4 linked regions of the Saccharomyces cerevisiae S288C genome follow. Each later gene encodes a partner of the first gene's protein in a complex. Each region holds a gene or a part of one and is shown in the gene's direction. Other genes may lie near its edges.

Region 1 (6,058 bases):
GCCAGTATTGCCTGTATTGGTACCAAACTGGGGCATTCCAAATGCTGAAGTGGTGGTTCCTCCTGTCATTGTGTTTGCTGTTCCAAAACTAGGTCTTCCAAATGCACTTCCTCCCATGTTATTGGTACTAGCAGCATTATTTGTGAAAGGGTTGATACCACTTGTATTAGAAAGATTAGGCTTAGCACCCGACGTGAATGGGTTACCGAAAGCTGACATTACAGTTGAGTCGTTGCTCGGGTCGAAATTTAATGATAGCTTGATGAGCTTTTGCGTTAAAGTACAACAGTTCAGTGTTATAGTACTTTAAACATTGTGCGCTCATCTATTGATTCACTATTTTTTTTCAAATACCTTGCACCCTCAGTCGGCGTGTTTCTTGATATGCAGAATTAATATATTTCTAGATGTCAGTATATTAAGGTTAGCCCTTTGAAACGTATTATGATGTCGTTACCTTCAGCGTCGTGGTTTAGGTTTCATGTCTTGTCCTCTCGCGAATACTTTTATTTCGAAGCTAATTTACTATATAAAGAAGGTTGAAATCGCATGATAAGCTAAACAGCGTAAATAGAATTGCCGGAGCAAAATTCGTATAAGACATAATTTCCCTCCAGGCCGTAGCCAGATTAATGCTCAGTACACTGTAAAGAATTTTTTGTTTATTTTTAAGATAAGACAAGATGTCATTGATATTATTGCTAGATCACTAACAAATGGTATTTATTGATTTTTCTTTCGCAGAGCGGCACTTTAACTAGGATTTAATCATAAAAAAAAAAGTGATTGACACTGTTATTCAGTTCTGGACTATCGTATAGACTATTTTCATTGTTAATAGGCTCAGCTGTTCATAAAATATGTGAAAATTTTTCAACGATTACCAAGCCCACGATTGTCTCGTTGGCAATATTCAGAATGAAGTTTTCGTAATATGGCTATGTCCGTGATCAATCGCCTAAGACACCCTGACTTTTCAAGTAAATTCTCAAAAGCTTTCTTCCATCCGTTTAAATAAGAATTACAATGTTAGAATTACTTTTCCTTTGAGAGGAGGAAGAGCGAAAGTAAGAATGGAGGTACCGGTCGTAAATAAGCATTGACGAATAAATATACCAGTAGGATCTTCGTATAGTTATCATTTTAAGAGAATAGGAGAAGAAAAAAAATTTTTGTTTAATATTTATATACTAGGTATTTACACGTGAAAGTATTGAATCAAGATGGGGTCTAAAATACAGGCGTCTTAATAGAGGAATTGTTATTTAAAATACAACCCACATCTCTTGGTCCTCCTTTTTTATCTTTTCTAATATATGTTGCTGTTTCTACTGGAGTAATTATTTTTATCATTACTACGGGAGAATGAGCGTCTATTGTTGTTGCTGCGTCTAAACGGTTCGTCATCGTAATCTCTATTTTGGCTCCTATTATTATAGTTTTTGTTGCCTCTGAAAGAAATTTCTGAATCATCATCATAATCGTAGGACTTGTTATTTCCATCTCTACTACTATAGTCTCTAATTTCAAACATTGCCTTACCAATTGGACTACGGCTCAAACCTAATTTATCTAAAAACCTTCTGGATACTGGAATCTTTAATTGAGGATCATTTAACAGTACACCATAAGTGGAAGCAATTTCAGGAAGTATGCGCCTTTCAGAAAACCTGTATTCCTTGATACAGGATCTGTAGGATGAGATTAAACTTATTACAATATCTGATATGTCTTCCGGTTCTTCGGTCACTGCCTCTAGGACCTCAGATTTTATTTCTTCACTGGGCTCATATTTTTCTTGTTTGGCAATGACTATATTTTTTGCATCTTCCAACTCTCTAACAAATGGCAATTCATCTTTACAAATGAATAGCACAGAAGATCCTTCTTTCCCACTTCTGGCTGTTCTACCAATTCTATGAATATAATTAGCCAACTCAGATGGAACACCAATTTGCAAAACTTCGTGGACGTTTGGGAAATCCATACCACGGGCTCCCACATCCGTACAAACCAAAATACCGGATTCATCTTTTTTGAATCTTTTAACTAAACTTGTTCTTTTATTTTGAGTAATTTTACCATGAAATTCCAAAATTGGTAAATCTTTCTTAAATTCATTCTTTAAAATACTGCACAAAAAGGATGTGAATTTAACAGTTGGTGCAAAAATAATGGCTTTGTAATTAGAATCTCTTTCCTTTATTTGTTTCTTTATATGCTCCACAGCAGCAAATATACTATTGGCAAACTTTTCTGAAATGACGACAGACTGATCAATTCTTTCATGTGCTTCAGGTTCATTCTTATCTACTGTGTCTAAAAAGAGACATTCTTTTTTATTCATGATATTGTTTGCCAACTTTTGTACTTTGTCGTCCAGAGTAGCAGAGAACAACAAAGTCTTGATATTATCGGCTGATTTGGAGTTCTTTTCATTTAAAATACCAGAAATAGTTTCTAAATCATCCCTGAATCCAATTTCTAGCAATCTGTCAGCTTCATCTAGCACTTTGTAATCTACGAACCTAAAAAATTTGTTGGAGTATTTTTCCAAAACATCAATCAATCTCCCTGGAGTGGCAATTACAATGTTTGGTCTCAACTTATTCATTTTATTCATAGCTGCCCTGAAGTCAGTACCACCAACTAAAGAGACACAAGCGTACTTTTTCAAGCCATAATTCATATCGTGGATTTTTTTCACCTCTGCTTCGATTTGCAAGGCCAAATCTCTTGTTGGTGCGACAATAACAGCTTTTACCATATATTGAGAATCGAACTTCGTATTTATCAAATGCTGGAAAATTGGAATCAAGAAGGCAAATGTCTTACCTGTACCGGTTTTAGCTCTTGCGATAACATCATGGTCTTCACTGGATAATATTGGTTTGATAGTCTTTTGCTGTACAGGAGTTAAACCGGGAAATTCCATCCTGGTAATGGCTTTATGTATTTCTTTATCAAGGACTCCTTCCTCCAGTAAAGAGTCCAGCGTTACTTCTTTACTATTATCTTCTTTTGGGACGTGAATTAGTTTGGAAAAAGTGGTCTTATCAAAGTGCACTTCATCATCGTCTTCTCTAGACCTTGTCCTTGGGCGAGAATTGAAACGGGAGTTTCTATACCTGTTACTGTTGTTGTTTCTCTGATTCCTACCAAAATTTCTTTGATCTCTGTTTCCATCATTGTATAATCTTCTTGAAACAGCCCAAGTAATATGGTTGCAATTCGAGAGAGCTGCTAATAAATTTCTGCTTGCAAGAACAGGTGTGCGACCTTTTATCAATATAGAGGTCAACATTTATCAGCCTAACGTGCAACTCTGGTATTTTCTTGCCACTCTGAGACACCATAGTGGCCATCAATACTTCCCTTCTTTTTATAGGAAAATTTTATTCTTTCTATAATATCACTACAGACGGAGAATGAAACAGATGATGATTGAAGCATCCATAAGTAAAGACACTTTGAGGTTGCTAATTTGCTTTTTTGAAATAAAACAGTGCCATATATCACTCCAGCCTACTTGTTATTATCAGAATTGGGTACGGTATTCATCTATATATTACCAGTTGTAAATCACGATATATCACGATACACGACTCTCCGGCGCCAGCGTTTTTCGTCAGTTTTTCTCAAGGCGGTATAAAAAATCGATGATATTCGATTGAGGCACTTGTTAACAAGCATACACTGTTGGAGGCAGAACAAAACAAGCATAACTCTTTTGTACTGTATTGTACTCTACCGCTCTGTATCACGTCGGCACACCAACGGTTTCTTTTGGCGGGTCTATTATATATATTATATATACTTTTATCAAGACATCGTGTGAGTAAGTGAGGTTAAAGCTCAAAAACCTACAAGCAAAGGCACAAGGAAATCGAAAGGACCAAGAAAGGAAAAGAAAAGAAACGATACGATAAGTAAAGACACTGTGGAAGAATTGAACAATGTCAGCACCTGTTCCTCAATTAGTAAATATTTCTCATGCCTTGCAAGCTTCCACTATCCAGCAAATTCGTTTGGATATGGTAGATTTTAATAAAGATTGCAAATTATCTTCCATTCAACTGGCAAGAATTGACAAGTATATCGATTCTTTGCAAGCGGCTTTGAATCAGTTTACCAAAGATAACTTGCACATAGAACGGAAGGAAAAGAACGTGACTGAAGCAGATATACAGCTGTATTCTGGCTTAAAATCAATGTATCTAGATTATTTGAACCAGCTAATTAAACTAAAGCATGAGAAACAACACCACTCTACACCGCCCATCGCTAATGATGTCTCCCTGGACTTCTTCGTTAACCAATTGCCTAAGTTTTCTCCCGAGGAAAGGAAAAATTACATTGACAATTTAATCCTGAATAAAAATAGCCATAATCGATTATCTAAAATGGATGGTCTGGTAGATGCAGTCATCAATTTATGCGTCTTGGATACTTCCGTTGCTGAAAATGTACGATCCTATATGAAATTATTAGATACATTGGGTTTCCAAAAGGGTTCGAATAGTACTGGTACAAAGGCCAACCTCAAAAAGAAATTGGCTAGTTCGAAAGCAAAGATAAAGGATTCAGAAAAAGAAAAGGAGAAGGAGAAGGATAAATCAAAAGTCAAGATGAAAACTAAATTAAAACCTTCTCCTTTGCTCAATAACGATGACAAAAATTCTTCTCCATCGCCTACTGCATCTACCTCTTCAATGAAGAAATTGAAGTCGGGTTTATTCAATAAAAATGAAGCTAAGTCTACAGAATCTCTACCTACTTCTTCCAAGAAAAAACTATCATTTTCTAAATATCTGAACAAGGATGACGCAGATATGACCAAGCTTGGGACTAAACGGTCAATAGATGTGGATTTCAAAGTCAACCCCGAAGCATCCACGGTGGCTTCTAATATCATATCTTCGTCAACGTCAGGATCGTCAACCACAACGGTAGCGACTCCTGCTTCTTCAGAAGAGCCCTTAAAAAAAAAAACCAAAATATCCGTGCAAGACTCTAATGTACAATCGATTTTGAGAAATGGTAAACCGAAAAAAGCACGCATAAGTAGCATCAAATTTTTGGATGATTCCCAACTAATAAAAGTTTACGGTGACGATCTACCGAACCAAGGGCTACAAGTTTCTCCTACTCAATTGAAAAAAATTCTGAAACCATTCAAGGAGGGGGAACCGAAGGAAATTATATTGTTCGAGGATATGTCAATCAAATTAAAACCTCTTGATTTGATGTTTCTGAAGAACACAAACAGTGATGACTATATGGATATATCCGAGACTAAAGGTGGCCCAATACATTGTGAAACAAGGACCCCGTTGATCTATAGAAAAAATTTCAATCATTTCAACCCGGACTTGAATAAAAGGCCGCCAAGAGAACCCATAGAATTCGACTTAAATGGAAATACGAACTCAACCCCGACTATAGCAAAGGCTTTCGGTAAAAATAGTTTATTACTAAGGAAGGACAGAGGTGGTTTGCCATACAAGCATGTCCCCATAGTAAAAAGAAATAAATATCCTCCAAGACCAGTACACTAAGCTATGACATGCTGATACATAAACATGTAGTATATATACTCATTTTATATAATGTAATTATAAGATATCAACCTTATACCGCTGAAGACTTTTTATTTTGAAGTTTTTTCATCAGTAATCTGGACATGACGATGCTACTGGCACTTACGGCCCCAAAAGGTGGGAAATACTCCAAAACAGTTCTTAATTTACTAGGTTGGATTTTTTTTACAACACTTTCAATCTGTTCGTATAAGTCAACCAATGTGCTGTTATTTTGTAGGATATAGTCAGATCTTGCCATCCTTTCTTCAGTGCTCATTTGACTATTTAGCCTGTTTTTTGCATCTTCTTCACTAAGTTCAGGATTTCTTGTCATTAATCTTTCTAGTTGCAATTCTTGCGTACAAATTACGCTTACAGTCACTCCGCATATTGAATCCAGATTTCCTTCAAATAAGAGTGGCACATCCAATACACACATTCTATATCCCTTCAAGTAATAGTAGCCAATTTCTTTG
Region 2 (5,630 bases), on another chromosome or scaffold:
ACTGTGTTGATCTTATGTCCCAATGCCGGTAATATTGGATACTTTATACTAATAATTGACATTTTCTATCGTCAGTTTGGAATGAGTGTATTTATTTATTCGTATCGTGGTTATGGTAACTCAGAAGGTTCACCCAGCGAAAAGGGTTTGAAATTGGACGCTGATTGTGTCATATCGCATTTGTCAACGGATTCTTTCCATTCAAAGAGAAAACTAGTATTGTATGGTAGATCTCTAGGTGGTGCTAATGCTCTTTACATTGCTTCAAAATTTCGGGATCTATGCGATGGCGTTATACTGGAGAATACATTTTTGAGTATTCGAAAAGTTATCCCATATATTTTCCCCCTTTTGAAACGCTTTACGCTTTTATGTCACGAAATCTGGAATTCAGAAGGCCTTATGGGAAGCTGTAGTTCAGAGACGCCATTCTTGTTTTTAAGTGGATTAAAAGATGAAATCGTTCCACCCTTCCACATGAGGAAACTGTACGAAACATGTCCTAGTTCGAACAAAAAGATTTTCGAATTTCCACTTGGTTCACACAATGATACTATTATTCAAGATGGGTACTGGGATATAATAAGAGATTTTCTAATAGAGAAGGGTTTTATCTAAAAGTAATAATCAAAATATTTGATAGATTTATTTACTTTACTGTATGTAAAGAAAATGTGGTCAGTCCTCACGGCCACTTAGTTACTGATGGTTATTTATTATGGAAAAAAAAACTGCACTTTGCTACTTCTTCTATTTATATTATGTAATATCTACTCCGGTTCAAATATTTTATTGATCTCTTGCTCATTCTTTTTCCTCGTTTCAGGAACTAGTATCCAACTGAATATTATCAACGCTAATAGGCAAGCAGCAAATATGTATCCTAGTTTGAAATCAATTTTGGATACAATCATTGGTGTTAAAAGTGATATTAAGAAATTGAACATCCAATTGATAAATGTGCAAATAGCCATTGATATGGCCCTCGTTCTTAGAGGGAACAATTCGGACACTAGTACAAATGTAACTGGGCCCAATGTTATTGCAAACCAAAAAATAAAACAACAAGTCACGATAATTAAAACAATATTTGAGAAGTCCGTTTCTCTTCCAAATGTCCCCACAGTAGCATATGTCATCATATAAAATAATAAATTTGTTGAACCATATAATAAACATGTCTTGTGGCCCCATTTCTCCACGTAATATATGCCTAATATCGTAGAAAGGAAGTTAACACTTGACAGTATGATTGAAGTAATATAAGGATCCTTAATCCCGACACCTTTGAAAACAGACGTTCCGTAATAAAAGAAATAATTTATTCCGGACAGCTGTTGAAATGCCATTATCATCATACCAATAATCAGTCTCAACCATAACTTTGGCTTTCCCATAATAAATTCAAATGTGTTTCTTTTAACTAAGCTTTGCTTTTTTGATTCGTTGTTAGTTTCCTCATTATTATAGTTATTTTCCAGCAAATCATCGATGAATTCAATTACCATGCTATCCGTCGCAGGGATGCCATTCATCCTCGCAAAAGAGTATTTAGCAGAGGGCACATCATTTTTGATTTTTGCCAAGTACTGTGGAGATTCAGGAACGTAAACAAGTGACATTCCAATTATAATTGCCCAAATGTATCCCAAGAACAATGGCAATTGCCAGGCTATATTTTGTGTAGGATCTTTATAACATCTTTCGCATATGAAATTTAAAATGTTTCCCATTAGTATGCCAAATGTTACAATCAATTGATACGTAGATACCATGGAGCCTCTGATTTTTAGTGGAGAATTCTCGGAGAGAAACATTGGCACCAAGACAGTGGTTACTCCCACACCGATTCCCGTTACGGCTCTTCCCAATGTCAAAAAATACCACCTTCCATAGGAGAGAATTTGAATGGTTATACCGATGCAGTACACTACTAAGGCAAACCATATACCACCTTTCCTACCAATCCAATCACCGATTTTTGACAGAGTTAAAGCCCCTACGCCACAACTGATGTTAAAAATACTGATAATTAGGCCTATTTGCAGATCAGTAAGTTTCTTAGTAGATACAAAAATTGTTTCATCGTCATGGATAATATTAGTTGTGCCAAATTTTTCTTGAAAGCTAACCATATTTGTCATTCCACCGATGGTTCCAATGTCCCATCCAAAAATAAAGCCACCAAGCGAGATTACCAAGCACAATAAAACGGGAATATGCAGACTCGCATTGTGACTAATCTTTGCTGCTTGGCCTTCTATATTTTCTTCTTTATCATCTAGATACTTAATGGTTACATTATAATCCCTTCCCCTGCCTGCATCAAGCTCATTATTGTGAAAATGAGAGATGTATCCCGAGCTATGTTGATACGGAATCTGAGCAGTCATTTCTAGCAATAATTGAAGTACTTTACTTCCTAAGAATACGTTAACAAATTCTTTGTTAGTATTTCTAATTAAAAGTGGTTAATTGTTCTGTTAAACAGTATTCAATGTTGCTATTTGAATTTGTGTCATCATTAGAATTACTGACATTTTTATTTTCTATTTTTTTTTCTATTTTTTTTCCTCTTCTTTTGAGGGCCGACGTATCGATTTGTCAAGGGAAGTATAATTAAAGAAAGCACTGATATACAGGTTGCTGGGTAGATATTAAGAAGCTCAACATAGACACGTTATGGACGGGCATAATCAGAACCAGTACCAGAATCAGAATCAAATTCAGCAGTCACAACAACCACCTCTGAAGAAATATGTGACACAGAGACGATCGGTAGACGTGAGTTCTCCGTATATTAACCTATATTACAACAGACGACATGGATTACCGAACCTAGTGGTAGAGCCAGAAACTTCATACACAATAGATATAATGCCGCCTAATGCCTACAGAGGTCGAGATCGAGTCATAAATTTGCCCAGCAAATTTACGCATTTAAGCTCGAATAAAGTGAAACATGTGATACCCGCCATCCAATGGACCCCAGAAGGCAGAAGACTTGTAGTAGCAACTTATAGCGGAGAATTTTCTCTATGGAACGCATCTTCGTTTACGTTTGAAACCCTCATGCAAGCACATGATTCGGCTGTGACTACAATGAAATATTCTCACGACAGTGATTGGATGATTAGTGGGGACGCAGATGGAATGATTAAGATATGGCAACCAAACTTTAGTATGGTTAAAGAAATTGATGCTGCACACACGGAAAGTATTAGGGATATGGCATTCAGTAGTAACGACTCGAAATTTGTTACCTGTTCAGATGATAATATCTTGAAGATTTGGAACTTCAGCAATGGCAAACAAGAAAGAGTATTATCGGGGCACCACTGGGACGTGAAAAGTTGTGATTGGCATCCCGAGATGGGGTTAATTGCCTCCGCATCTAAGGACAATTTAGTAAAACTGTGGGATCCGCGTTCCGGAAACTGCATATCATCAATTCTGAAGTTCAAACATACTGTCTTGAAGACGCGATTTCAACCCACCAAGGGAAATCTATTAATGGCGATTTCAAAAGATAAATCGTGTCGTGTGTTCGACATTAGATACAGTATGAAGGAACTAATGTGTGTAAGAGATGAAACGGATTATATGACACTAGAATGGCACCCAATAAATGAATCTATGTTCACTCTGGCGTGCTATGACGGCTCGCTAAAGCATTTTGATCTTTTACAAAATCTAAACGAACCTATTTTGACTATTCCATACGCCCATGATAAGTGTATCACCTCGTTATCATATAATCCAGTAGGACATATATTTGCCACAGCAGCTAAGGATAGAACCATAAGATTTTGGACTAGAGCGAGGCCAATTGATCCTAATGCATATGATGATCCAACTTATAACAATAAGAAGATAAATGGATGGTTTTTTGGCATCAATAACGACATCAATGCTGTGAGAGAGAAGAGTGAATTCGGTGCGGCCCCGCCACCACCAGCTACACTTGAACCACATGCGTTACCAAACATGAATGGATTCATCAACAAGAAACCGCGTCAAGAAATCCCAGGCATCGATTCAAACATCAAGAGTTCCACATTGCCAGGTTTAAGCATATAAAAGTGCGCTTTGACGAGATTTTAGGATACATAAATAAAAAGACTATATAACATATTATTTGTGATAATATCTCTCATTTCTGGGGAATGTACCCCACAGGCACCACTGTTTACTTTTGTCGCTGATATCTTCATAGAATTTTTCTTTATTCTTTGGGGTATTCTTCTCGGTGTAATATTCAATGAAAAATAAATATCGCCAGTTTCTATCATGTTCGTCCAAATGGAATGGTCTAGAGTTTATAGAACACATGTTGAGTGAATGGATTTTTAGTATGTTCAAAACATCTACCAAAGAACCAGGGTCATCTTGACGAGTAGTAAAGGTGAGTAGGTTAACCCGTAGTAATCCAGTGTCTTCTACTTCATTGTCGCCTGCGTTCTCCCTTCTCTTCAATACTAAAAATCTTGTTGTATTTCCTAGCTTATCATTTATCGAATGTTCAATGATGTACGCCTTATGCAATTGGGCAGCTGTTTCACTAGCAATGGCTAAATGCAGAATGTTGTCGCAATCGGCCGTTGATGACCGAATGCATTGGTTCACTGATTCAGATGTGGAAGAACAATCCAATCTTATAAAGGTGACCTGCGGAAATTTTTCTGCCATGGACCTTAAGTAACATTCAACCTGGCCCCATACTTGCGGATGTGAGTGTATTATGACTTCTTCAAAATTTCCAAGGGATGCAATACCATTTGGTAGTTGGATTGGGCTGATTAGACAATGGGTAATGGGTACATATTGCTCCGCTATAACTTCTATATCTGGTGTAATTCTATTAGTATCTGCTGGAGCAGGTAAGGATAGGGCTTTTTTGATCATCCTATCACGCAAGAGATCATAGGAAAAAACTACTTGTCCATTGGTGGAATTTTCCAACGGTACCACTGAATAATCTATACTAGTGTCGTTCTCCAATTGGTTAAAACATTGGGGGATAGAGGCTGCTGGGAGGTACTCAACATCAGATGTTGATTGAAATTGTTGTAATGCAGCTTGATGGGAATACGTACCTTTGGGACCCAGAAAAAGAACCCTCAAAGTCTTGCTGGCCATAATTGAAGGATGAATGCGGAAATATAATGAAGTTGCTTTTCGTACTTTTTTAGCCTGTTCTTTCTGCGTATTATATTCATCTACTAAAATTTTTATTTTCATTTTTCATTATGAAAATACAAGAGTCATGCTGATAACTGTGTAAAGAAACTGTACGCTTGTCGCAGATGATGTAGTACGTATTTTATTTACAGGTGTCATTAATATATATATATATATATATATACGTATACGGAAGTAATTCTTCGTTAATTTTCCATGGACTGTGATAGCGAAATCAATTTCTCGACGGTGAATCCCGGAGAGGCCTTAGAGAAATCTCTTAACAACTGCACTCTCTGTTTAGCAACTGGAGTTTCTTCACCCATTGCACCATAAAACCTTTGCACGTTTAGCAATAACAGCTGTGCATCCTGTACATTCACGTTTGTATCCGGTTCAACATGGCCATTCATAAAAACAATTCCCTTATCCTTGACCAAATCAGAATG
Region 3 (6,418 bases), on another chromosome or scaffold:
AATTTTTTGAAGATTTGGAAGTTTGGAGAAAAAGTTATTCCACTCTTGACGTGAAAAATTTCGAAAACGAGACACTAAAACTTTATTACTATAGATCAGTGCGATTGCTTATACAACCATATTTGGAATTTTTCGCCCCGGAGGATAGACTATTTAGAGAATGTCAAGCTGCTGCGGGTCAAATTTGTCAGTTATACAAGATATTCCATCAAAAAACGCTTAATGGTCATTCTACACCAGCAGTGCATACGGTTTTTGTAGCTGGCGTAACTTTAATCTACTGTATGTGGTTAGCCAGGAATTTTGACGATCAAAGGAGGAAGAAATTAGGCGATGCTTCGAAGCATACTAGACCTTTAATCAGTGCAAGTCTCTTTTCGACGATGGATGATTTGAGAGCTTGCTCCGTTTGTTTATATGTTATGACAGAAAGGTCTAATTTTGCAAGAACCTTTAGAGATACTTTCGATCAGTTAATGAATGCCACGGTAGGTAATTTGATTGAAAGATGTGGTCCAGACTCTTCTGAGTTAATTTTCATGGCTAGTAGTGTCGCCAAGCGTACTGAACCCAAGAACATCAATGATGAGGCCAATAAGGCAATTTCATCTGGGGATACTCTTCATGATTCTAACTCCGCAAATGCAGCTAATCTATCCAATTCAAACGATAAAAATATATCTCATAATGGCGGTATGCCGCCTGCTGTGGCTAGAATATTTGGTAAAGGACAAGCTGAAGAGCACGCCGGTTTTGTGGAAAATTCACAAGTGGATTTGGCTGAACAAGAGAAATTCAAGAAGAAGCAAGGTGTTTTAGAAAAGACCTCTGTACCCAAAAGTTTAGCTCACCTATTAACCAAAATGGATGACAGGTCACGTATTTCAAATTCTTCAATGTCTTATACAACATCTTCTTCGTCATCATCTTCTTCTTCGTCATCATCGTCGACATTATCGTTTCCTTCTTCCCAAGAAAAAAACCTGAAAATCAATGTAAACAATGATAACAATGGTATGACCATCAGCAGCGTCAACAGAGAACACAACAATAATCACAACAATAATAATGATAATAATAATAATAATAACAATAATAATAATAATAGTAATAATAATAATAATGTTAATAATAATGATAATGAAAGTAATAGCAGAAGCACTACCAACAACAGCTGCAATAATGGCAACAACAGCCAGTATGTTCGTAACAACAACGTAACTATGGAAAATGATGTAGAAAGGCCTATTCAAGACCAATATATCGTCAAGAAACCAACCAACCAAACAGAGTTTGATTGGCAAGTATTTCAACAGCAGGCCTTTCTACAACAGCAACTAGCTCAGCACAATTTACAAGCGTATCTATCGTCCCTGAACACCGATACTATGACCAATAGAAGTCCTTCAAAATCTTCTAGCATATCTACAGCCTCTTCGCATTCGGATCCGATTCCAATAGCGATGACGCAAAGCCCAACTCCATATCCTCAAACTTCCAATATGCTACCGCAACAGCATGTATCACGACCACTGCCGCAACAACAGCGGGAGCAGCCACAACAACATATTACTTCTCCACAAAGATTCTCAGAAAGCAATTTTACGAATCAATTAAACAATGGTATGATCAACAGTAATCCTCTACAATCTGCAATATTCTCTAACCATACAAGTGAAAATAAGCAATTAAGAGATGTCGAAGAATCAAATTTCAGTACATCACCCCTAAGAGCAGATTATGGCAATAATATTATCTCCTCGATACCAGCGTCATTTACTAGCAATTCAATTCCGGTCAGTGTCAAACAAGCTCGAAATGGCTCTTCTTCGGGCGATATACTTTTCAGCAACGGTGCTCATGACATGATCAACAATATTTCCACCTGGACCAATAACTCCGTTCTAGATGCTTTGAATAGCAAGTCCATACTACAAACAATATTTCCCCAGAGTCAAGAGCCTTCATCTCTGTCCATGGACAAACAGCAGCAACAACATCAACAACAAAATATGTGTTCTGAAAACAATGTAACCGCTAATAATTTTCAACAGACGCAGAATGACCCTTCGTATAACAGAAATTTGTTCATGATGTCCAATCAGGAAGGTGTACAATATAATCTTGACGAAACAGAGAAGAATGGACCTAAAACACAGGTGGAAGCAAACACTAGCGCAAATCTGCATTTCGACAATGTTATTCCTACAGTAACTAACGCAGACATCAGGAAAAAGCGTTCTAACTGGGATAACATGATGACATCTGGTCCGGTAGAAGACTTTTGGACGATTAATGATGACTACGGCTTTTTAACGTGATACTACATTAATATAATAGTATGTACAAACTCATTCCTTTTTTTTTTTTTTTTTTTTTTCTCTTTTTTTTTAAAAGAACAACTAAATCGCTTTTTTTAATTATGATATGGGTCATATCTTATAAGCCTAATCTAAAACACATTTTTTTCTTTCATTTATATTGTTTTTAAAATCAATAAAACTCTTTCTTTCCTGTATAAAGTCCTCTCCAAAAGACTAAGTAGCGTGTTTGCAAATAAATACGGGTAAGCAGTTATTCTGGCCGAAAATTATGAAAAACTAGCGGATCTTTAACAACTTCTACTGCTTCAGCGCAATACATATTGAGATCACATCTAATAGGTTCAAAATGTTCACGGGTATAAGCGTTTATTTCTTTTACCCTTGTTTTCAGTACTTCAAAAGTTACAGCACAAAAGAAACATTGTATTATCAATTGAATTTTGTCCATTGAGGAAATAAAAAGTAACATAATAAGTTAACATTAATAAGTATACGCATATATGGAGCGAACAAATACAACAACATTCAAATTTTTTTCATTGGGAGGAAGTAACGAAGTTGGACGATCATGTCATATATTGCAATATAAAGGTAAAACAGTGATGCTCGACGCAGGAATTCATCCGGCATATCAAGGATTAGCTTCATTACCTTTTTACGATGAATTTGATCTTTCCAAAGTCGATATCTTACTGATATCACATTTCCATTTAGACCATGCCGCTTCACTTCCGTATGTGATGCAACGGACTAACTTTCAAGGCAGAGTTTTCATGACACATCCAACCAAAGCCATTTACAGATGGCTACTGCGAGATTTTGTAAGAGTTACTAGTATAGGTTCTTCATCCTCCTCTATGGGGACTAAAGACGAAGGTCTATTCTCAGATGAGGATTTAGTTGATTCTTTCGATAAAATTGAAACGGTGGACTATCATTCTACTGTTGACGTCAATGGTATCAAATTTACGGCATTCCATGCAGGCCATGTATTGGGTGCAGCGATGTTTCAAATAGAGATTGCTGGCCTTAGGGTGTTATTCACAGGTGACTATTCGAGAGAAGTAGATCGTCACTTAAATTCTGCTGAGGTGCCTCCACTTTCATCCAACGTATTAATTGTGGAATCTACCTTTGGTACCGCTACTCACGAGCCCCGTTTAAATAGAGAAAGGAAGCTAACCCAACTAATCCATTCCACAGTGATGAGAGGAGGCCGTGTTCTACTGCCTGTTTTTGCTTTAGGGAGAGCTCAAGAAATCATGCTTATACTGGATGAGTACTGGTCTCAACATGCTGATGAACTCGGTGGTGGACAAGTCCCAATATTTTATGCATCAAATTTGGCAAAAAAATGTATGAGCGTTTTTCAAACCTATGTAAATATGATGAATGATGACATTAGAAAAAAATTTAGAGACTCTCAGACTAATCCCTTCATATTCAAAAATATATCTTATCTTAGAAACTTGGAGGATTTCCAAGATTTTGGTCCCAGTGTGATGTTGGCCTCACCAGGTATGCTGCAAAGTGGGTTATCAAGAGATTTACTTGAAAGGTGGTGCCCTGAAGATAAAAATCTAGTACTAATCACCGGTTACTCCATCGAAGGAACAATGGCGAAATTTATTATGCTTGAGCCAGATACAATACCTTCCATAAATAATCCGGAAATAACCATTCCAAGACGTTGTCAAGTTGAAGAAATCTCCTTTGCCGCACACGTTGACTTCCAGGAAAATTTAGAATTTATTGAAAAGATTAGTGCGCCAAATATCATCCTTGTTCATGGAGAAGCCAATCCCATGGGCCGTTTGAAATCTGCATTGTTATCCAATTTCGCGTCTTTAAAGGGTACAGATAATGAAGTCCATGTTTTTAATCCTAGAAACTGTGTTGAAGTAGATCTTGAATTTCAAGGTGTCAAGGTTGCAAAAGCTGTGGGAAATATTGTGAACGAAATATATAAAGAAGAAAACGTAGAGATAAAGGAAGAAATTGCGGCTAAAATTGAACCTATAAAGGAAGAAAACGAAGACAACTTGGATTCTCAAGCAGAAAAAGGTTTGGTTGATGAAGAGGAACACAAAGACATAGTCGTTTCTGGGATTCTAGTTTCAGATGACAAAAATTTCGAATTAGACTTCCTTTCTTTGTCTGATTTAAGAGAGCACCATCCCGATCTTTCTACAACGATATTAAGAGAGCGCCAGTCAGTTCGTGTAAATTGTAAAAAGGAGCTAATTTACTGGCACATTTTACAAATGTTTGGAGAGGCTGAAGTTCTTCAAGATGATGATAGAGTAACAAATCAAGAACCAAAGGTTAAAGAAGAGTCAAAAGACAATCTGACCAATACAGGTAAATTGATTCTACAGATAATGGGTGATATTAAGTTAACTATTGTTAATACTCTAGCCGTTGTGGAATGGACTCAAGATTTAATGAATGACACTGTAGCAGACTCCATTATTGCTATACTTATGAATGTGGATTCAGCTCCCGCCAGTGTCAAGCTTTCGAGTCATTCTTGTGATGATCATGATCATAACAATGTGCAGTCTAATGCACAAGGTAAGATTGATGAAGTTGAGAGGGTGAAGCAAATCTCAAGGTTGTTTAAAGAACAGTTTGGTGACTGTTTTACTTTATTTCTCAATAAAGATGAATATGCAAGTAATAAAGAGGAAACTATAACTGGAGTGGTTACCATAGGTAAAAGCACTGCTAAGATTGACTTCAACAATATGAAAATTTTAGAATGTAATTCAAATCCTTTGAAAGGTAGGGTGGAAAGCCTCTTAAATATTGGTGGTAATTTGGTCACACCGCTATGTTAAAAACAGTTACGCATACTAAGTAGACTACTTTATAGAAGTAATACCAAACCAAAATCTGGTTAGAACTGCCTTTTATTGTTTACCTTAATCACTCTTTACGTAATGAAACCTAGAGATGAAATTTTAAAAATTTTTTTTCACGAACATAAAGAATAACTCTTCTAGACCATCTCATCTCATCTCATCTCATCTCATTTCATTTCGATTCTTCTAATTTCTTTCATTGAGTAAGAGCCTTTTGTTTTGGCTGATAGTTATAGTCAATCTACAATTTATCTCACAAAAGAAATAGACTAAGCCAAAACTGCAACGAAAGATCAAAAAAATGAGCTATGAGAAAAAGTCTGTGGAAGGCGCTTATATTGACGATTCTACAACGTTCGAAGCATTTCATCTCGACTCTCGTTTATTACAAGCTATTAAGAATATAGGATTTCAGTACCCAACATTAATTCAATCACATGCTATTCCTTTGGCTTTACAACAGAAGAGAGATATTATAGCAAAGGCCGCTACAGGTTCCGGAAAAACTTTGGCATACCTCATTCCTGTAATTGAAACTATCCTAGAATATAAAAAAACAATTGATAACGGAGAGGAAAATGGTACACTAGGTATTATACTTGTTCCAACAAGAGAACTGGCTCAACAAGTATATAATGTTTTAGAAAAACTAGTCTTATATTGTTCAAAAGATATAAGAACTCTGAACATATCATCCGATATGTCTGACTCAGTTTTGAGCACTCTACTTATGGATCAACCAGAAATCATAGTTGGTACACCTGGTAAATTATTGGATTTGTTGCAAACAAAGATTAATTCTATCTCATTGAACGAACTAAAATTTTTAGTAGTTGATGAGGTGGATTTAGTGTTAACATTTGGTTATCAAGATGATTTAAACAAAATTGGAGAGTACTTACCATTGAAAAAAAATTTACAAACATTTTTGATGAGTGCAACCCTAAATGACGATATACAGGCTTTGAAACAAAAATTTTGTCGTTCTCCAGCTATTCTTAAATTCAATGACGAGGAAATAAATAAGAACCAAAACAAATTACTTCAATATTACGTTAAAGTCAGTGAATTTGACAAATTCTTACTATGCTATGTCATTTTTAAACTTAACTTAATCAAGGGTAAAACATTAATTTTTGTAAATAATATTGACAGAGGATATAGGCTCAAGCTAGTTATGGAACAATTTGGTATCAAGTCCTGTATTTTAAACAGCGAGCTACCCGTTAA
Region 4 (4,989 bases), on another chromosome or scaffold:
CGTCGGTAAGTCGAAATTGATACAGTTAGAGTTACCACTCAAACCGTTATTACTAATGATGAAAAGTTGTTTACTATTGAATATGATTGCTCTTTTGTTTTCGTTATTTTGCCAGATGGAGTTGTCGTTCAACCCAGACTTTCTTCTCGACGCTCTTCTTTTTTCCCTGTTGATACATCTATTACAAACATAGGTCTGCTTGAAGTTGTTGCTATTGTTGTTAGATGCACACAAAAGAAAGGCGTCCAAGAAAAGAGTCCTTTCGTTGATGTCCCTATTGGGTATTGTCAAGTTGGTGGGATCGTCCGAGCTGGTGAAAAACTTGTCCTTCGCTATACAATCAGAGGGCAGATGAATAAAGAAGTTTTTTCTTGCATGTGCGTTTCTAATCCGAAAACTCAGCTTCATCTGAGTTTCCACCCTAGAAACCTTCGGCAACCCAATAATTTCTAGAGACAATGGAAGGGACTGCGGGTTAATGTTGATAAAATCCAGTGGATTCGCGTATGGCGTCCTCAGAGGTAGCTTTCTGCCAAATTGAACGTGTCGATCAAGCAATCCTTGCAAAGATGCGATGTCATCCCTGAGCTCCCCTTCATCTTCCTTACCTGGTGTAGTAGTACCTGCTGTTATCATTTTCTCTTGGTTCAGACTCAATAAACCAGGGTCTTGCAGAGAGGACCCAGAGTTGAGCAGAGCAATATCCAGTAATTCTGATTCTAGTAAATCCAAGTCCGGAGAGCCATCGTTGTGCTGTATGTTGGCGCTATAGCTGTGGAGCATCGAGGAAACGTTTCCTGTGCCACTCATCATTTTCAGTGGTGTACTACTGTTGTGATTAGTCGTTTAGAGGATATCTAGAGTATAATTATTTTGAATGAGTTTCGTTGACATTTTCAGTTCATGCGATCATCTTACTTTCATGGTTGCTCCTTGCCGTTAAAATTGAAACGAAAAAAGCGGGAATACAACAATGTCACCTTACACGAGCAGAGAAAAGGGCAGCAATAGCGACAATAACCGATAATGCCAGGCCTTCCAGAGCCCTATGCTGACCTATATTCATCATGACGCTATCCATATGCAACTAGAGACCTGCTGGGAAGCGCTCTCTCATTTTTGAAGGTTGCAGCAGTGCTCGCGCCGGTTTTCGATTGGGCCTCGTGATAAAACACATCAGCAAAGTTTCGCTTTTGACATTCTGTTAAATTGGTCCTTAACTGTTGGTGCAGACCTACTGCAAGACTGTTAATTATGGTATATTATATATCAAGTGCTGATACAACGTACACCATCGAAAATGGAGGAGTACGATTATTCAGACGTTAAACCTTTGCCCATTGAGACAGACTTGCAGGATGAACTGTGCAGGATTATGTATACCGAGGATTATAAGCGGTTGATGGGACTCGCAAGGGCTCTGATCAGCCTTAACGAACTGTCACCCAGGGCACTACAGCTAACAGCCGAAATTATCGACGTGGCGCCAGCCTTCTACACCATATGGAACTACCGATTCAATATCGTCAGGCACATGATGAGTGAATCCGAAGACACTGTCTTGTACCTGAACAAGGAATTAGACTGGCTAGATGAAGTTACGCTGAATAATCCAAAGAACTATCAGATCTGGTCCTATAGACAGTCTCTTTTGAAGCTACATCCGTCTCCTTCCTTCAAAAGAGAGCTGCCTATCTTAAAACTGATGATTGATGATGATTCCAAGAATTATCACGTTTGGTCGTACAGAAAGTGGTGCTGTTTGTTCTTCAGTGACTTTCAACATGAGCTCGCCTACGCCAGCGACCTCATCGAGACAGACATTTATAACAACAGCGCATGGACTCATAGGATGTTTTACTGGGTGAACGCTAAAGATGTCATTTCAAAAGTGGAATTGGCCGACGAGCTCCAGTTCATTATGGACAAGATTCAATTGGTTCCGCAGAACATCAGTCCGTGGACCTACCTCCGTGGTTTCCAAGAGCTATTCCATGATAGGCTACAGTGGGATAGCAAAGTAGTCGACTTCGCCACAACCTTCATCGGTGACGTATTGTCACTTCCAATTGGCTCACCAGAGGATTTGCCCGAGATCGAGTCCTCATATGCCCTGGAATTCCTGGCATATCACTGGGGGGCAGACCCTTGTACCCGAGACAACGCTGTTAAGGCCTATAGCTTGCTAGCAATCAAATACGATCCTATTAGAAAAAACTTGTGGCACCACAAAATAAATAATCTGAACTGAATATATGTAAGCACTCTATTTGTACGAATATATTTACGTGTGTACGTGCATGCACGCAAGTTTAATCTAGTTCTACAAACCTACTGCTGTATTGAGATTGATCTCTTCCCCTTCGTTTTGGACCGCTATCATTGATGCGTCCAAACCCGTCCTCGTTCAACTGCTTTCTGAAAAATTTAGAACGTTTAACCATCTTCAGCGTCCTTGTGTAGCACATCTCTCCCCATGACAGATATCTATGTATCCAGCCGCCCAACTGATACTGGTTGTAAAAGAATATCATTCCCGTCTCCCTTCTTATTGCCGATAGGAGCATAGCTACCAACGTCCCCTCTACTACCCACCTTATCATTCCCAACATCTTGCAATATGTTACGATCTGATCTTCACTCTCTTTTGCTCCTTCTTTTTGCTGTTTAACTGTTACCTACACTCATTTATTCGATACCTTTTTTTACCCATTTTTTCTTCATGCAGTTTAGCACTAGTACATTAAAAAAGAAAGAAAAAAAATGAAAGCAAGACTAAAATATCGAGCAAAGCACAAGCAAATACACCGTTTGTCCTTTTAGCATAGCCAACAATGACCACCGTGTCCATCAATAAGCCCAACCTGCTGAAATTCAAGCATGTTAAAAGCTTTCAACCTCAAGAAAAAGACTGCGGACCCGTAACCTCATTGAATTTCGACGATAATGGCCAGTTTCTACTGACCTCTTCTTCCAACGATACAATGCAATTGTACAGTGCCACGAACTGCAAATTCTTGGACACTATAGCCTCTAAGAAATATGGCTGTCACTCCGCTATCTTTACGCACGCACAAAACGAATGTATCTATTCCTCTACAATGAAAAATTTTGACATTAAATACCTTAATCTGGAAACAAACCAATATCTAAGATATTTTTCCGGTCATGGCGCCCTAGTGAATGATTTGAAGATGAACCCCGTGAACGATACGTTTCTATCGTCGTCATACGATGAATCCGTTAGGCTTTGGGATTTGAAGATCTCTAAACCGCAAGTTATTATACCAAGTCTCGTACCAAATTGTATCGCATATGATCCAAGTGGCCTTGTATTCGCATTGGGGAACCCAGAGAATTTCGAAATAGGGCTATATAATCTGAAAAAAATTCAGGAGGGTCCTTTCTTGATAATTAAAATTAATGATGCGACTTTCAGTCAATGGAATAAATTAGAATTTTCTAACAATGGAAAGTATTTATTAGTTGGCTCCTCGATAGGAAAGCATTTAATTTTTGACGCATTCACAGGTCAACAATTATTCGAACTAATAGGAACAAGGGCCTTCCCGATGAGAGAATTTCTAGATTCTGGATCTGCTTGTTTCACACCAGATGGTGAATTCGTCCTTGGAACCGATTATGACGGTAGGATTGCCATTTGGAATCATTCTGATTCAATAAGTAACAAAGTATTAAGGCCGCAAGGGTTCATTCCCTGTGTTTCTCATGAGACCTGCCCCAGGTCAATTGCATTCAACCCTAAATATTCGATGTTTGTTACCGCAGACGAAACAGTAGATTTTTACGTGTACGATGAATGACTGCTGCTACTGCATTGATATACTAGAGGATATAATATATAACGAACATTTTTTACCTACTGTATAACGACGTATACTCTATACATCTTGTGTATTCTTTACAAATAATCGTCAATGTTGGGGTACCTTACGTCAGCGTTCTCTTCACACCATTCTGACCAACTTTTTAGGTACTTGTTACCGCACCTTTGCAGAACTTCTATATTGCCAACAACAACTAGTTGCCTTCTGGGTCTTGTCATGGCGACGTTCAGTCTTCGTTCTTCCTTAAGGAAACCAACTTCAAATTTTTCATTGCTACGAACTAAACTCAATATGATAACATCTTTTTCACGGCCCTGGAACCCATCTACAGTTGATATTTCAATATCAGTTAATTTTAATTCATCATGGATCAATTTTTTCAGATGAGAAACTTGTGCATTGTATGGAGAAATAACACCTATAGAGTTCTCCGGGACGTTGAATGACCTTAAATTCTCAATGTGTTCTTTTACAATGGCAATTTCGCCCTCATTATACTTAGATCCAAGGATAGTAGCTTCATCTGCAGTCTCTTGAAATTCATCACCTTGCGTATCATACCAAATTAAAGGAATTTTTGTATCGTCATCATCCTCAGATGGCGTAGCATCGACGGTCGGTAGGTCTATCAAAAGTCTGTTCGCGACCGTTGCATCGGCCAATAGTTTCCCATTATACATTGAGTGCGATGGAAATTCCATAATTTTTTGATTCATCCTGTATTGAACGTTAAGAAATTTTACCATATCCCTTTTCGGGAATATTTTGATTATTCTGTCAAATAGTGTGGTTTCCAAATTGTGAATGACATTTTTGTCGTCTTCTGTTTTGATTGTGGGTGGCAATTGTTTATTGTCACCAGCAAGGACTAGTTTGTGGAACTGATTTTGATGTGCAATTAGTGGGATCCAGCATTGTGGTTCCATGGCCTGTGAGACTTCATCGATGATCAAGGTATCGAAAAGCTGGAAATTTGGATCATCTCTATAAAGGGAGCATAGTTCTCTCGATGATGAACCGTGTAAAGTGGTGACGACTATTCTCGATTGTATTATTAAGTCCTTAATGGTTTTGAACTCTCTTTTCTTTAAATCTTTGCGCAGCAGTTTAATTTCGTTCCAGTTTTCTTTACGTTGCTTAT

Evidence for each region.
Region 2: REF2 (region 1) and PFS2 share a complex: the UniProt entries of both Saccharomyces cerevisiae proteins name them as parts of the cleavage and polyadenylation factor (CPF) complex.
Region 3: REF2 (region 1) and YSH1 share a complex: the UniProt entries of both Saccharomyces cerevisiae proteins name them as parts of the cleavage and polyadenylation factor (CPF) complex.
Region 4: REF2 (region 1) and SWD2 share a complex: the UniProt entries of both Saccharomyces cerevisiae proteins name them as parts of the APT complex.

Annotation. Positions count from the first base shown.
Region 1 is NC_001136.10:844,643-850,700, forward strand, and holds REF2 (RNA-processing protein REF2), read left to right. Parts: upstream 1-3,956; coding exon 3,957-5,558; downstream 5,559-6,058. Other genes in the region: FG-nucleoporin NUP42, read right to left, coding at 1-219; MSS116 (ATP-dependent RNA helicase), read right to left, coding at 1,310-3,304; YDR194W-A (uncharacterized protein), read left to right, coding at 3,429-3,581; CAB5 (putative dephospho-CoA kinase), read right to left, coding at 5,632-6,058. UniProt on the Saccharomyces cerevisiae protein: RNA-binding component of the cleavage and polyadenylation factor (CPF) complex, which plays a key role in polyadenylation-dependent pre-mRNA 3'-end formation and cooperates with cleavage factors including the CFIA complex and NAB4/CFIB.
Region 2 is NC_001146.8:37,937-43,566, forward strand, and holds PFS2 (cleavage polyadenylation factor subunit PFS2), read left to right. Parts: upstream 1-2,682; coding exon 2,683-4,080; downstream 4,081-5,630. Other genes in the region: YNL320W (uncharacterized protein), read left to right, coding at 1-618; HXT14 (Hxt14p), read right to left, coding at 771-2,393; prephenate dehydratase PHA2, read right to left, coding at 4,135-5,139; ATP11 (Atp11p), read right to left, coding at 5,388-5,630. UniProt on the Saccharomyces cerevisiae protein: Integral and essential component of the cleavage and polyadenylation factor (CPF) complex, which plays a key role in polyadenylation-dependent pre-mRNA 3'-end formation and cooperates with cleavage factors including the CFIA complex and NAB4/CFIB.
Region 3 is NC_001144.5:695,902-702,319, reverse strand, and holds YSH1 (cleavage polyadenylation factor subunit YSH1), read left to right. Parts: upstream 1-2,824; coding exon 2,825-5,164; downstream 5,165-6,418. Other genes in the region: YLR278C (uncharacterized protein), read left to right, coding at 1-2,321; DBP9 (ATP-dependent DNA/RNA helicase), read left to right, coding at 5,490-6,418. UniProt on the Saccharomyces cerevisiae protein: Component of the cleavage and polyadenylation factor (CPF) complex, which plays a key role in polyadenylation-dependent pre-mRNA 3'-end formation and cooperates with cleavage factors including the CFIA complex and NAB4/CFIB. Has endonuclease activity.
Region 4 is NC_001143.9:401,268-406,256, forward strand, and holds SWD2 (WD-repeat containing protein SWD2), read left to right. Parts: upstream 1-2,834; coding exon 2,835-3,824; downstream 3,825-4,989. Other genes in the region: SPT23 (Spt23p), read right to left, coding at 1-813; RAM2 (bifunctional protein farnesyltransferase/protein geranylgeranyltransferase), read left to right, coding at 1,301-2,251; MCO12 (Mco12p), read right to left, coding at 2,313-2,612; ATP-dependent 5'-3' DNA helicase HCS1, read right to left, coding at 3,923-4,989. UniProt on the Saccharomyces cerevisiae protein: The COMPASS (Set1C) complex specifically mono-, di- and trimethylates histone H3 to form H3K4me1/2/3, which subsequently plays a role in telomere length maintenance and transcription elongation regulation. Involved in mediating RNA polymerase II termination.